Linked DNA regions of Diceros bicornis minor. The protein of the gene in region 1 interacts with the protein of each later gene in a pairwise test. Links are inferred from orthologs where the notes say so. Each region holds a gene or a part of one and is shown in the gene's direction. Other genes may lie near its edges.

Evidence for each region.
Region 2: the proteins of DACH1 (region 1) and FGF12 interact in binary tests that used the Homo sapiens proteins (3 or more experiments, as listed by UniProt). The two-hybrid records come from large-scale screens. The link is inferred for Diceros bicornis minor from reciprocal best matches to the Homo sapiens genes DACH1 and FGF12.

The regions. Positions count from the first base shown.
Region 1 is NC_080748.1:52,105,687-52,112,608, reverse strand, and holds the start of DACH1 (dachshund homolog 1), read left to right. Parts: upstream 1-3,895; 5' UTR 3,896-4,416; coding exon 4,417-5,240; intron 5,241-6,922. UniProt on the Homo sapiens protein: Transcription factor that is involved in regulation of organogenesis. Seems to be a regulator of SIX1, SIX6 and probably SIX5.
Region 2 is NC_080754.1:32,517,023-32,524,216, forward strand, and holds the start of FGF12 (fibroblast growth factor 12), read left to right. Parts: upstream 1-4,178; 5' UTR 4,179-5,658; coding exon 5,659-5,857; intron 5,858-7,194. UniProt on the Homo sapiens protein: Involved in nervous system development and function. Involved in the positive regulation of voltage-gated sodium channel activity. Promotes neuronal excitability by elevating the voltage dependence of neuronal sodium channel SCN8A fast inactivation.

The DNA.
Region 1 (6,922 bases):
TCTGAAGTATAGATCTGAAGTGTTTTTCTGTGCATGCTTCTAATAGAACTTGGGAAAAAATTAAAAGAATAAAATTGTAATGAACCTTTTCTTGTTGCCCTTTCTGCATCTGCCCAAATTGTTTCTGTTTCACTTAGTGATGCTATAAAAAGAGGATACTCAAAGCTTTCAGGAAATTTCAAGATATTCAAGAAACACATTCAGATAGCTATTGCCTTTAAGTTACTGAATCATTTTAGTTTTTTATATTCTATGAAATACGCATTTTCAATCTTTCTTTCAAATAACTATATCAATTGCTGTATTGAAACTCTGAAGACTTAAAGACATGACTTATCCTGGCTTTGTCAATATTTGTATCTTTCTTACAATCTTCTGCTTTGCAGTCATTTACCAGAATTATAATGCAGCATGAATAAAGCTAAAAAATGACTATTGATTACAGAGAAAGCTTTGTGAAATCATTTAGTCAGTTTCCCCACTTGAGAAATCGGTGAATAAAAATAGGTCAATAGATAAGGATGGAATGGATGTAACACAGTGCTGTGCCTCCCTGGGTTATAAAAAGGGTCAAAAATAAATCCCCATAGAATTCATGTTTTTATACACATAAAATAAAATGATCCTTACCAAATCCCAACTATAAGTCCACCTTTCTACAATCTATTCTTCGTTTTGAAACCACAGGTTTTGAAAGCATAACTTTTACGTTTCCCTGTTTCAGTAAAAGCATTTCCTTGTCACTGCCCCTTTTAACCAAACAGGATGCCCTCATCTTCGGGCTAAAGTGCCTGTTGTCATCCAGGTATTCACTGGGACTTTTGCTGCAACAGCTACTCTCTATTTTCTTACTGTCTCATGCAACCTTACAGCACTTTTCAAAACTGCATTTCATAGTGCACTGAATTCTGTATCCTGGGCCGATTTTTGCTAATAGATGGTGAGACCTGAGTCCACTCTCTCTATTAGTTCCCATTCATAGGAATACCGTCGGGGACACGGGAGGAGGGGGGCGGGGAGGGGAGAGGAGGGGCCCGGAGGAGGCAGAGGGAGGGAAGAAAATACCTTCCCTGAACTGGTACAAGCTCAGCTTCAAACGATATCCTAGGAAAGAAATTAAAGACTTCTTAATTAGTGCAGCAATTAAGCTTTCTTGGTAGCATTTTAATCAGCACAGGCCCTATCAAAGGACAAACAGAACGATTTGCAGGTCTTTGAATTTTAAACAGTCTTATTGATTTCAGCACAATACGTCTTCACAAAACACAGGGAGAATTTTCTAATATCAGTTACAGTACTTTGAGTTTTGCTTATGCAAATTGAGTGCAGGTTGGAGAAGATGAGGTGGAGGGAGAGGACCTGAAACAACCAGAAATGTAAAAACAATAAACAAACAAGACAAAAGCTTTGAAAGCTAAAGATGCAATGGAAACAGTGAGAATTTGAAATGTCTCTAGTTGATTTATCTGTGGTTGTTAAATACTGTTTGCCTTAATCACTGGTAACATTTCTCAAAAAAAAAAAAAAAAGGAAGAAAGAAATCTTAAAAATTTTTTGAGGCTTTTCTTTCCTACGTGTTTTAATTTGCATTATATGCTTTTTCTAATCCTATTGTTTGTTAAAGGGGTAAGTGGTAGTTCCTAGAGACGGTTTAGAGACCTGAGGTGGGGGGGCGCAGGGGGAGGGAAGCTTCCATTCAGGTGGGGGCAGACACCCCGAGCCCTGCTTCTGAATGGAGCACGTGCTGGGAGGCGCAGGGTTCCCAGCAGAAAATTCGGAGTTTGCTTGGACGCAGGGTGGGATTATGGTTTAGTGAGCTATCATTACTCCCTGTTTGTGGCTTCCAAATGTGGCAGGTACAGGCTGAGTGACAGTTTAAGGAAATGTGAGAAATGAGAATGCTAAGGGCAGATTTTCAGCATTTAAATTCGATTTTTTCATTTGTGGGTCTAGAATTTAAAATGAAGAAACTGTAGTTTAGCGTTTTAAAAACTATATCGGAGTTTATTAAAGTTGTGCATGCAATTCCAAAAGAAGATTAGTTTTTCAGGGCTTAATATCTTCTTCCTGTCTTCTGCTCATTAACATAGTAATTTGGCATTTTTAAAAAAGGTAATATTTTCCAAAACACGTATAAACACTTAAAAGACGTGTTTTGATGTATGGAATATATATCAAATTCCTATTTTTAATTGCGGACAGATATGAGGAGTGAGAAGTTAATATAACTTACTTCTGAATATATTAAAATACATTGGGTAACTAGGCCAAACAACTGTGTAAAGTTTAGTTATCTTTGTAAAAGTTTATCTACTTTTTAGCAAAATCAATTTTCTGAATTCAAATTTCTGAATTCTGAGGCCTCCTGATATGACTGCTATGCCCCAAAAAGTTTAGCAGAAACTTACACAAATTAGTCAAAAGTGTCCTATTTCTCTGTAGACATTCCCTGCACCTTTTGACATCAAACTTCAAAAAGTTGAAAGAATTAAAATAATAAAGAGAAATATGATAATAATCTCGACATCAAAATGGCAGAAACTTCATTATGAAATTTCCCAACACTGTGAACCTGATGTTAATAGTTTATTTTCGAAATCTGTCAAGTGCTAAAGCATTGTTTCTCTCTTGTGAAGTTAATGAACATGTGTAGACAGGTTTAAAGCCTAATTATTTAAGATTCCTAGAGCTATAAACAGAGAACAGACTTGATCTATGTTCAAATCATATATTGGTCAAAGATCCTTGAATAAATACCTCCATGCAACAAGTTAGAAAAGGGAAGAAAAGAAGAGAGCAAGGCCAAGAGGAAGAGAGGCAGTTTCCATTCAGCCTGGTGTGGTATTGAAGCAGAGCTGCGCTGTTTGTGGTCAGCTAGCCAGCTTTGTTTTCTTCATTATTTGCAAAACACATTTTCACTGACAAATCGAAAAGAACTTTCCCAAAATATTGATACTTTTCAAACATGAAAAAAATATTGTTATTCATGTAACACTAGCAGCTAGCCTTGGGTCTTAAAGGACGTGAAGATAGTTGGTTACTGTGCAAGACAGGTGAATTAATTATCGAGTTTTCAGTAAGAAAAATCAGTGTTTTCTTGTTTTCCACTTTCTAAATCTTCAAGGGTGCCTGGTCTCTTCAAAGTCTGGTATTGGTATAATAAGCATTTCTGACCAGCCTTTGGGGCACAAGTGAAGTTATTGTGAGCGATCCACATCAGGGCAAGCAATTCTTTCTTTCCATAATCTCTCAGGAAATAACGAACTAAATACAGAGCATTCCACTATATTTAAGCGGTTTCAAACTGACTTTTTCCCCACAACTTGAAAACTGTCCTGGAATTTTCACTATCTATATAAAAATAAATAATTTAATAGGTAGATAAAAACAATCAGATGCATAAAACAAACGCTTTGCTTACATGTGAATTTTCCTCAAAATACTTTCTTAATAATTATGAAGTGAGGGGATGTTTTCATTGATATCTCATTGGAAAAAACGAGCGGAGATACATCCTAAATCCTTGAAGGAGACCTCGGAGCGCTCTGGCTCCTCTTTAAGTTGGCAGGCGATTGCTTAGAAGGTTTTGGAAAAAATGACGAGTCGTCGCGGACGAAATGGAATTATTAGACATGCAATCTAACGGTAGTAGAAGAGAAATAGATCGCCCTCTCCTTTTCCGATCGCCACTTCTGTGTCCCCGGCTTTTCCTTTCCGTCCCTCCCATAGTTTCTTTCCTTATCCTCCCCCACCCCTCCTCCTTTCCTTGCTCACTCGCTTTTCCTCTGTCTCGCGCTCTCGGAGTCTCTGCTCCGAGTTCCTGGTTGGATAATTTGGGTTAATACTAGTGAGTGAGGTTTCTGCGGCTTCAAAGGGTATTTCAAGTTTCCGGAGCTCCTCCCCTCTGCACCGTGTGACAACAACAACTCGTCCAGCCGGCAGCCTGCACTTTTCAGCTCATTTTCTCTCTGTCATTCCCCTCTCAATCTTTGATCAATGTACTTGCCAGGGAGAACCCAAGTCCTTCAAACCTCCTCCTTTTCACCTTCATCCTTAACTTTGTGCTAGAGCGGGACCCACACAACAACAGCCGACCCTCCCCGCCCCCGCCCCCCCCCCCCCCAAACCAGCCCCCGATCCCAGCCCCCGGAGAGGACTCGCATTTCGACTTGCGGGACACTTTTGTGCGTTTCTCTCCAGAGCGCCTCTCGCGCTCGCCCCTCCTGCGCTCTCTCTCTCTTACCCTCACCTCCTTTTTCCCCCTTCTCTCTCTTGCTCCTTCTCGTTCTCTCCCGGAGTTGTTGTTGTTGTTGTCCCCTAGCTCCTTCTCCCCCTATTTTCCCCCTTCCCCTCCCCGGGGTGTGTGGCAACTTTTCCCCTCGCTTCTCCTCCTTCTGTTTCCCCTTATATGTGACCATGGCAGTGCCGGCGGCTTTGATCCCTCCGACCCAGCTGGTCCCCCCTCAACCCCCGATCTCCACGTCTGCTTCCTCCTCCGGCACCACCACCTCCACCTCTTCGGCGACCTCGTCTCCGGCTCCGTCCATCGGGCCCCCGGCGTCCTCAGGGCCAACTCTGTTCCGGCCGGAGCCCATCGCTCCGGCGGCGGCGGCGGCGGCGGCCACAGTCACCTCCACCGGCGGCGGCGGCGGCGGCGGCGGCAGCGGAGGCGGCGGCGGCAGCGCGGGCAACGGAGGCGGCGGTGGCGGCGGCGGCGGCAGCAGCAACTGCAACCCCAGCCTGGTGCCCGCGAGCGGCGGCGGCGGCGGCGGCGCCTCCAGCACCCCCATCAACGCGAGCACCGGCAGCAGCGGCAGCAGTAGCAGCAGCAGCAGCAGCAGCAGCAGCAGTAGCAGCAGCAGTAGCAGCAGCAGCAGCAGCTGCGGCCCCCTCCCCGGGAAACCCGTGTACTCGACCCCGTCCCCAGTGGAAAACACCCCCCAGAATAATGAGTGCAAAATGGTGGATCTGAGGGGGGCCAAAGTGGCTTCCTTCACGGTGGAGGGCTGCGAGCTGATCTGCCTGCCCCAGGCTTTCGACCTGTTCCTGAAGCACTTGGTGGGGGGCTTGCACACGGTCTACACCAAGCTGAAGCGGCTGGAGATCACGCCCGTAGTGTGCAATGTGGAACAGGTTCGCATCCTGAGGGGACTGGGCGCCATCCAGCCTGGAGTGAACCGCTGCAAACTCATCTCCAGGAAGGACTTCGAGACCCTCTACAATGACTGCACCAACGCAAGGTAAAGAGCGGAGGACAGCCTCCGCCACCCTGGGTCCCTTCCCACATGCCTCCTTGCCCTCTCCTCGCTCCCTTCCCGGCGCCGCTTGCTCCGCGCGCCCGCGAGCCGCGCGCCCCGGCGAAAGCGGCCCTCTCCTCCCTTTCCTCCGGGCTCTCCAGCCGCTCTCGACCGTCTAGGAAGTTGGCACCTCACCCTGCCCAGATCCCGCTCTTCCGGCCTGATCCGCCCCTTGCTCGCCTGGGCGCGGGGGCTTGGCTGCTGTGGGACGCGGGAACCCCAAGCCTCGGGGCGGAGGGGGCGGGAAGGAGGAGCACGGTGCCTTAACGGGAGCCACAGCCCCCTTCCTGGGCCGCGCCAGCGTCTGGGGACCCCTCGCAGCGCTGCTGCCCGCGTGTGCGCTCCCTCGGACCCGGGTTCCACCGCGAGCCGCAGGGCACCGGCGGGGCTGGTTGGCGGCGCCGAGCGGCGTCCCGGGGGCGGGGAGAGGTCGTGACCCTGCCCGGCAGGGTTCGGGGAGCGCCAAGACGCTCTCGGGTGAGGGGCCCGCGAGGAAGCCTAAGGAGTGGGCCGCTTCCAGGTCGAGAGGGGAACGACCTCAGAGGCTGAGAGGCCTGGGGCAATCCCGGGGGACCCGCAGCCAGTTCAGCCCCGAAGCCCCGAGAGAAAGCCCGCCGAGGGGAGGGGTCTGTGTGTGCGCGCATGTGTGCTTGTGTCCGCGTGTGAGCGTGTGCGTGTGCAAAGGAGATAAAGGGGCACATTTGCCCCAGGGCAGATTCGAGAGGGGACTAGCAGGTTTCCTTCTGTAGGGGGAGGTGACCGGGTGCCTGACTCTTGGAAGCTGAACTGCAAAGATGGGGAAGAAGAACACACCTCGCTCGCTCTCTCTCCCACCAAACTGTTTTTTTTTCTTTTCTTTCTTTCTTTTCTTTTCTTTTTCTTTAAAGGTTAGTAGCGCACGCAGTGAGCAGGCGCAGGCTTTGCACTGGGATGCTCTGCGGACCTGAATACCCGGTGCCGTAGCTTCCCCAGCCTCGCAAAGCGCGCGAACCCTGGAGGCCGCAGGACCGGGAGCCCGGCCAGACCAGTTTTATGCTAATGAACGCTCACTGGGGGAGGATCTACCAAGAGGGGGCGGGAGTGGGGTAACTTGTCAGTTTCGGGGTAGAAATGATCATTCCACCCGCTTTCCCAGTTCCGCCTTGCCCCACCATTCTCCGCAGAGGGAAAAGTTCAGAGATGCCGGGAGAAAGCGAGTAGGGAAAGTTGGAGACCAGAAGCGGGCGCGTGGGAACTCCGCGCGAATGCGCGGCGACTTCGGTACCCTCCAAATAAGTTTAACGACCGGGAGAAGGAAAGGAGTTTTACTCTTTTAGATTGTCTGTCCTAGTAGAGCTAAGGAAACTGAGATGGGAAGGAAAGAGGGGTAGGACGAGACCAGAAGGAAACCGGGGTGAAAAAGCCCTTAGCTACTTCTTCCATGGAAGAAGACTCTTGGCTAGTGCCCCTAGAAGGCTGTAAGACGAAAAAGACTCAAACTCCAACCCAGCAAAGGTCCTATCCCGACCTAGCCAGAAACTCTTTTCCGTGTTTATCTGCCATTCTTTGCACGGGGTACATGGGTGTGTGTTTGGGTTTTGAACGTCATTTCTACTATTTTTGGGTGAATACTGAGAACGCGCGCG
Region 2 (7,194 bases), on another chromosome or scaffold:
GAGTCAGGGGCCTGATCTCAGAGCAGGATGATGTATGAGCAGAGCCAGGCTCCTTTGTGTTCCCAACAGACAAGGACATTGACAACATTCAACTAATGAAAATTTTGTTTGCCATTACAATGTCAAGGTTAATCATTCATTTCAAGTAGACTTCCAGCCTTCGTTAAATACATTATGTCCAGGAGTGAATGATGATGTGTATGAATCACAAGGTATGTTTTCCTGTTTTGGAAAGTCTGAATTTTATAGCAGGGACTTGATTTAAATGGATATTTTAATGACAGCATGCTCATTCTAATACTTTACATTATTATCACATCTTCTTTGAGCCCCGCAGCAGCCCAGGTGGATTAGGACTGCTAATCATTACCATTGATCCATTTTGCAGATGTGGTTTAGAGAGATTAAATAACTTGTCCAGTAGCATACGGCTGGTGAGTGATTAAGACAAGAGCCAAATAAGACCATGATGGCATGAACTGTAAGCTTGTTGAGGGCAGGGAGAATGTAAAGGTGTATAGAGTTCCCCTTGGTAACCGAAAGAGAGCCTTGGATGCAATCTGTGCTCAATTCAAGCTGTCAGATGAATGGCTGCGAGAGTTCTAATAGTTTGATTTGGGAGTTGGGAGACTTGGCCTATGAATAAGGAAAGACTATTAAATGTTCTGTATTTTTTCTTTCTAAAATATGAAGATTATTAAGACTGTCCATGTTTTGTTTGTTTGACTGGAGGTCAGAAATATAAATATAACTATATAATTATCTTTTCAGTGTGTATCTGGCAACTTCATCCAAAGTAATTAAAACTGCTTCCACTCATAATGTCTTCAGAATTATAAAGGGAAATTCTCAAGTTGTCAATAGCCTAAAAATCAAGGTATCGTTATCCATGAGATGTTGCTGTTTAAAATAACCTGATTGTTTTACCTAAATCATCAGTAGGTTGATTTAATCTCATTCCTGACTGCAAAATGCAAAGATACTGGAAGTGTCCTAGTAAACATGGAGGAAGACTTATGAGATTTAGTGGCGAGGTAGGAAAGTTATGAATTTCTGGATATCAAAAAATTTAGTATTGCTTCTGATCTCAACAGCCATGTCCATAGGTCCTACATAATTTCTCAAATTTTCCTATACTTACCTCTTCTTCTCATTGTTGAAATGGAGTAAATGATGCTGATGATGACTTAAAGGGATAAACAGCTAAAATGCACTCTGACAAAAGCTGCAGGAGTGCAAGGGAAAAAATAAGGTCTTTATTGTCTAATTGAATTGAATACACCACATTCTTTTAATAGAGATCTAAAGACAGGAATAACATTACTCTCAGAAAGCTGACATTTATTGTTTTCGTTTTGTTCCTTAAATGCCTAACTTGATGCTGTCATGCCAAGACAGAGAAGAGTACTTCAAACAGTAACTGCTATCTTCTTTTTCTTGTGTTCTCCGTCACCTTCTATCCTATGCTGCTACATTGGTTAGTTACCTTCTGCATCAAAACATCTTCATTTCTCATAAACCCACAGAAAAAAGTCAACACACTCAAAGATCAGAGAACACACATTCTCTTTCCAGGCCTTTTTTTTGGGCACAAGACTGTAATGTTGGAGAAATGTGCTAGATTTTGAGAGTTTTGAATTTATTTCTCCCTTCTAGTGTTATCTACATTATATATCTACACATATAATGTAGGTAATGTTTATATATCTATAAAAATTTTATATTTGTTTATATAAATGTTTATATATATATAAAACATTCAAACTTTGACACCTGAAGAACTTGTTAAAAACTCAAATTCCTGCACTCTACTCATAGAGATTTCTGCTTCACGTTCTGAGAAACCATCAGGAATCTGCCTTTTCAAAAAGCATTTCAGAAGAATATCATGCATTTTCTTAAAAAGAAAGTAAACACTGTCATCATCTCTTTTACTCATTTGGCATTTTCCAGTTCTCCAAATGCTTGCACATACATATTCAGTTCTGTGAGGTAGATGGGACTGATTATCCCCATTTTGAGGATAAGAGGCTCAAATTTAGCAATGATTTCCTCAGGGCCTCACTATACACCCTCCCTCCTGCCCATTTCTCTGGGTTCCTCACCTTAGCTGACCTTTGTCTTTTTGAGTGTTGGACTGAAAAAGGGAAGGAGCCCCAAAAGCCAGCCAGTACTGTCTGTGCCCGCCTTCCTCAAGAATGAGACAAGTCTTCTGGTAGCCAAGCAAGGAAAATAATTTTATCTGTGGAATGTGAACATTTCCCTAATTGACAGTGTTACCAATTGATTTGAAGTAATTCTCCTTGCCCCATCCAGATGCACTTTTGAAAATGTATGCAGCTGGCTTCACTTTTGGAGGAGTGTGTATGTATGTGTGTATGTGTATCTTTTTCACCTGTCTTGTTCTGTATTGTTAGAATCCCAAGTTCACTGTCATTCAGCTACACTGAACTGGTGCAGGAGATGTGTGCTCTCCCCTGTCAGGGCACCTTGCCTGTTTAATCCTCCTCCCATCTGTCTGCCCCATAAGCCCCTGTCTGCCTGTGTTATGCCAGGAGGAGCAGGAAAGGTCCAGGCCCCCAGACACAGTAGGGTTGTTTGACACTGCTTGATCTAAACAACCTCACAGGTCTTCATCCTTCTCATTGCCTAAGTGAATTTCTGCTAGGCCCACAGGTTTGTGCCCACGTCTAGAGAATTCCTGGGGCTTCTCCAGGTCCCACATCCATTTTCAGCAGCTTCCAGGGCCTGCATGTTCCATGATCTTTATTAGGGTGTTTCCAGCATACACCTGTCTCTGCTTGGAAATGAAGCATTTAATCTTTTGGCACTACCCTTGATGCTTAGCCAGGTGTCTGTGAAGGGAACGGATTTGCAGACAAGTTGAAGAGAGATGGTGAGTATAACTAATAGCCACTTCCAGACCTTAGCATGACTGGAAAGTGATTACTCCTTTTAGGTTTCCAGAATCTTTCATGCTGCATTTTAACTTGGGTGACATTATCTCCTCTGCTGAGTTCTCTGTAACATCCAGCTGTCATCACAAGCACTCCTGGAGACCTGATTGCACTCCAAAGCTGGTTGTTGACTGCCCTTGCCCACAGTCACCCTCTTACCCCACCTCCATTCTCCTCTCTGTGCAGGGTGCTCACTTGGTCCCTCATTTTAGTGATTGAGTCTGCTTTGCAGCTTTCTGGATAGAACCAAGAAATCTGAGTTCCAAGGATGCAGAAACACCTTTTCCGGTTCCAAAATGAGCTGACAATGGGGCCCAACATGAGGGCATTGTTACTTTCTCCAGGGTCCACTGCCCGCCTTCCTAAACAGAGAATTCTGTGTGCCCCAGCTTGCCGGCGGGAGGGTGGACCGCTTTCTCGCAGGTCCCCCACCGCTAACCCTTTCTTTGCGCCCCGCCTTCTCTGTGCACCCAGGGTCCTTTAACCGCCTGGCTGGTGGTTTTCTCTTGGGGGAGGGACGGGACGGAGCGGACCCGAGCTGCAGTTCCCTTGCTCTGCCTCTGAGAATTTCTCATCCAAACCTCAATCACGTAGGATTGCGTAGAGAGGAGAAAAGGGGAGAGACAGAAGACAGAGAAGGGGGAGAGGGGTGACGGGAGGGAGGGAGGGAGGAGAAGAGTCTGGGAGCAGAGGGCGTGAGGGAGGGGAGGAAGACCCGCGCGCGCTGCGCTTCTCTGCGCTCCGGGAGCCCGGCCCCCCGCCTGGCCGCACCTGGGCGCTCTGGAGCTCCCGGGCGGGTGGGCGAGCAGTGCGGGAGGTACTCCGCGGCCGCCGGCTCTTCGTCCCACCCGCCGCCTCGGTGGCGGTCTTCCCTGCCAGGAGTTTCCTGCGGAGCTAGCGCTCCAGCCGAGCGAGCCGGCCAGGCGGCGGCAGCTCGGCGCGCCCAGAGCCTCAGCTTATGAATGGGACTCTGCCCTGAGCGCTCCCTCCGGGGCGGCTGGGGGCGCCCGGCTAGTCCGCGGCTCTGAGCGGCCACCCGCGCAGCAAGTTGGGCGAGTTGGCGGCAGCCCGCACCTGCTTCCTGGCTCCGGCCCCAGAGCCTGCGTCCGGCCCCGAGGGCCCCGGTTGTGCGTTCGGCTGCCTCCTGCCGTCGCCGCCGGGGGCCTAGGGGCCCCGCCTGTTCCCCCGGCGCCAGACCATGGTGGGCAGCCTCTGCCCGGAGCCGCAGCCGCCTCGAGCCGACGTCGCCCGCAACCAGCCCCCGCCCCACCCGAGCCGACCCGCGGGGGTTCGCAGCGCGCCGGTCACTTCCTTCCTCCGCCGGGATGGGCCGCGCGGGACCGAGTGATCGGCCTCGCGTCCGGCCGGTGATCCTCATCTGATCTGCTGCCTGTGAGCTGCCGACTGCCGGGCCGCGCGAGCCTGGGGAGCCCGGGCAGCGCGGCGATGACCTGATCCCGAGCCCGCCAGGGCACCCCCTCCTTCCCTCCTTTCCTCGCTCCCTCTGAGCCTGTGCGGAGACTGGCTCTGTGTGGCGGCCCGGGCGGACCATGGCCGGGAGCTCCAGTTAAGGGCGTGTGGGCGCCGAGCTGGAGAGGACACCTTCGGCATCGCTGCCTTTTGAGGGGGCTTATTTAAACTACTGAGTCATTCCAGATTTAGGATTCCCTAAATAATCACCAACTGTGCCGTCTTGTGCCAGAAAGCAAGCGGAAAGAGAAAGAGCGCCCGCTCTTGGGACCCCACGTATCCCCGGCGCTCGCCTCTCACGGGTTTCTCCCCGAGGGGTGCTTGGCCCTCGAGGATCTCCCTCCCTCCCTCCCTCCTTCCTTGCCCGTCCCTCCTTCCCTCCCCCCTCCCTCGCCTCCCGCTCTCTTCGCAGCGCTGCCGGCGGGGAGTCGCGCGCACCGCAGCTGGAAACAGCTGCCCCCGCCCCGCGCCCCTACCCCGACTCCGGCTAACCGCTCCCACTTCGCGCCTCTCGGAATTCCAGAACTCGGGCGGCCAGCCCCTGGAGACCCGCAGCCGGTGCGATGCATTCCGTAGACCTTACCCAGCCGGGACTAACCTCCTAATCTCCAGAACTGCGGGCCGCAGGGAGTTAAATTGCTGCCTTCCTCTCCTTCTCTCTTGCGGTTGGTGGCTTGTTTTCTAAAGGAACGTTTTATTCACTTTTTAGTATTTTCTACCGGGGTCACGCTACCCGCCTCGGTCCAGACTCTGCTTTGTAAACGGGTTTTATATGTATGTATGTGTAGATATACTTTGGACACCTTGCAACGCTTGCGCCTCTCCAACCGGGGCACGGCTTGTTGTTTTGGACATCCTTCTTCCCCTTCCACTTGGTACTCCGATCGCAGTGTGACCAAACACCCCACTGCCTCTTGGACGCGGATCGCCTTGGAATGCAAGTTTGGGGTGCAAGAGACTAGTTAACAGGAAGGCCTGGGACCGCCCCGCCCCCGCCGCCAGCGGTTGGGAAGTTTACATCTGGAATTTCACACATTTTGTCGCCACTGCCCAGACTCTGACTAACCTTCTGGGCGCCAGGTTTTCGGTACTGCAGCCTCCTCAAATATTAGCACTGCCTCCCCGCATCTGCCCTGTCCCTCCCGGCCGCCGAGGTCCTGCCCTCGCCCCGGCGGAGCGCGATCCCGAGGGCGCAGTGGAACCCGGGGCCTGGGGCCCGCGCTGAGCAGCTATGGCTGCGGCGATAGCCAGCTCCTTGATCCGGCAGAAGCGACAGGCGAGGGAGTCCAACAGCGACCGGGTATCGGCCTCCAAGCGCCGCTCCAGCCCCAGCAAAGACGGGCGCTCCCTGTGCGAGAGGCACGTCCTCGGGGTATTCAGCAAAGTGCGCTTCTGCAGCGGCCGCAAGAGGCCAGTGAGGCGGAGACCAGGTCAGTAGAAGCCCAGACAGTGGGCTCCCCAGAGGCTGACAACCCCCTCCCCTTCCACAAAGAACCTGGGGGCATCCATGGATGGGAACTAGGATCCTCCTCTTCCATTCTGGCACCCCCTTCTCCCTTAATTTCCAGATATCTCTTTCAGTCACTCTCTTTCAGTTAATAGCTTCTTGTCCCATATTCAGGAAAACACTTTATACATTGATGAAACCACGGTTTGACTAGGATGAGAGTTACATGTATAGATGTTCCTGGTCTGGTATAGCCTGTAGAATCCTGGCTGTGACCACCTCATTCTCTCCCTCTCTCATCCATCCATCCATCCATCCATCCATCCATCCATCCATCCAGTCCTTATACTGCCTACTGAGGACCTAAATATAAATAAACCTTCCTCCCTTTATCTTTCACAACATTTAGCATAGTTCTTGACACATTATAGACACCTAGTAGATACCAGATGAACTTAAATTTATTTTCTTTTTCTAACTCTTCTGCCAGGAACATATGATATTGCATCTTTCAGACATTGTAATTTCTCACCTCCCTATTTTCCCACATATCCTTTACATAAACCTTTTCCTTTCTCTTCCTTCAAGTACTCTCGTGATTCCAAGGGCTCTGCTCATTAACTTTTCTGTCCTATTACTCCCAGCATTTGCACACACATTTACTTTTGGGACATTAAGGGAACAACGTAGTGTCTGCAGTTTGGCCTCAAAAAGTGCAAAGAAAACTTTAGACTTATCAGAGATTTTTCTTGGCATGGGCTTTCTGCAGCTGATTCTCTTCTTTCGCCCCAAACTCAAATGGTTGGTCTTTGATGTGTCTCTATTGACAAAGGGAAATTGGACATCTTGAGTTTCAGAGTGAGTAATTCCCAGCTTAGGCCGGGCCAGCTTAAGAGAATGAAAGCAGAATTGCCTAGGTCTATGCTTCCACCAGACTTTGTTGATCCTCTGGGTGTGGCCCACAGAGTCCTTTGCAATCTGTAGATATTCTGTGCTTACTGTGTACAACTGAAAGGAAATACTGTTTAGAAAGAAAGCTTGCTCTGTGATCAGTTGACCGGTCTAGCTTATCCTCTTTGCAACTCTGTGGTGTTCTCCTGGGTTCCAGGAATGAGGCATATGGGCTAGTGTCATTGGGGGGAGGAAAACACTTGGAAAGTCTGAATGAGCGGGGCTCAAAATTAGTTTAGAAATTTGGGATTAAGTCTTGTGAAGAAGTCATCTCATCTCATCTTTCTGTTGGGTTTTCATGATGTTATTCACGCCATAGTGGGCTCATTTTCCTATTCTGAGATGTTGATAAAATAGTAAATTTCAGGA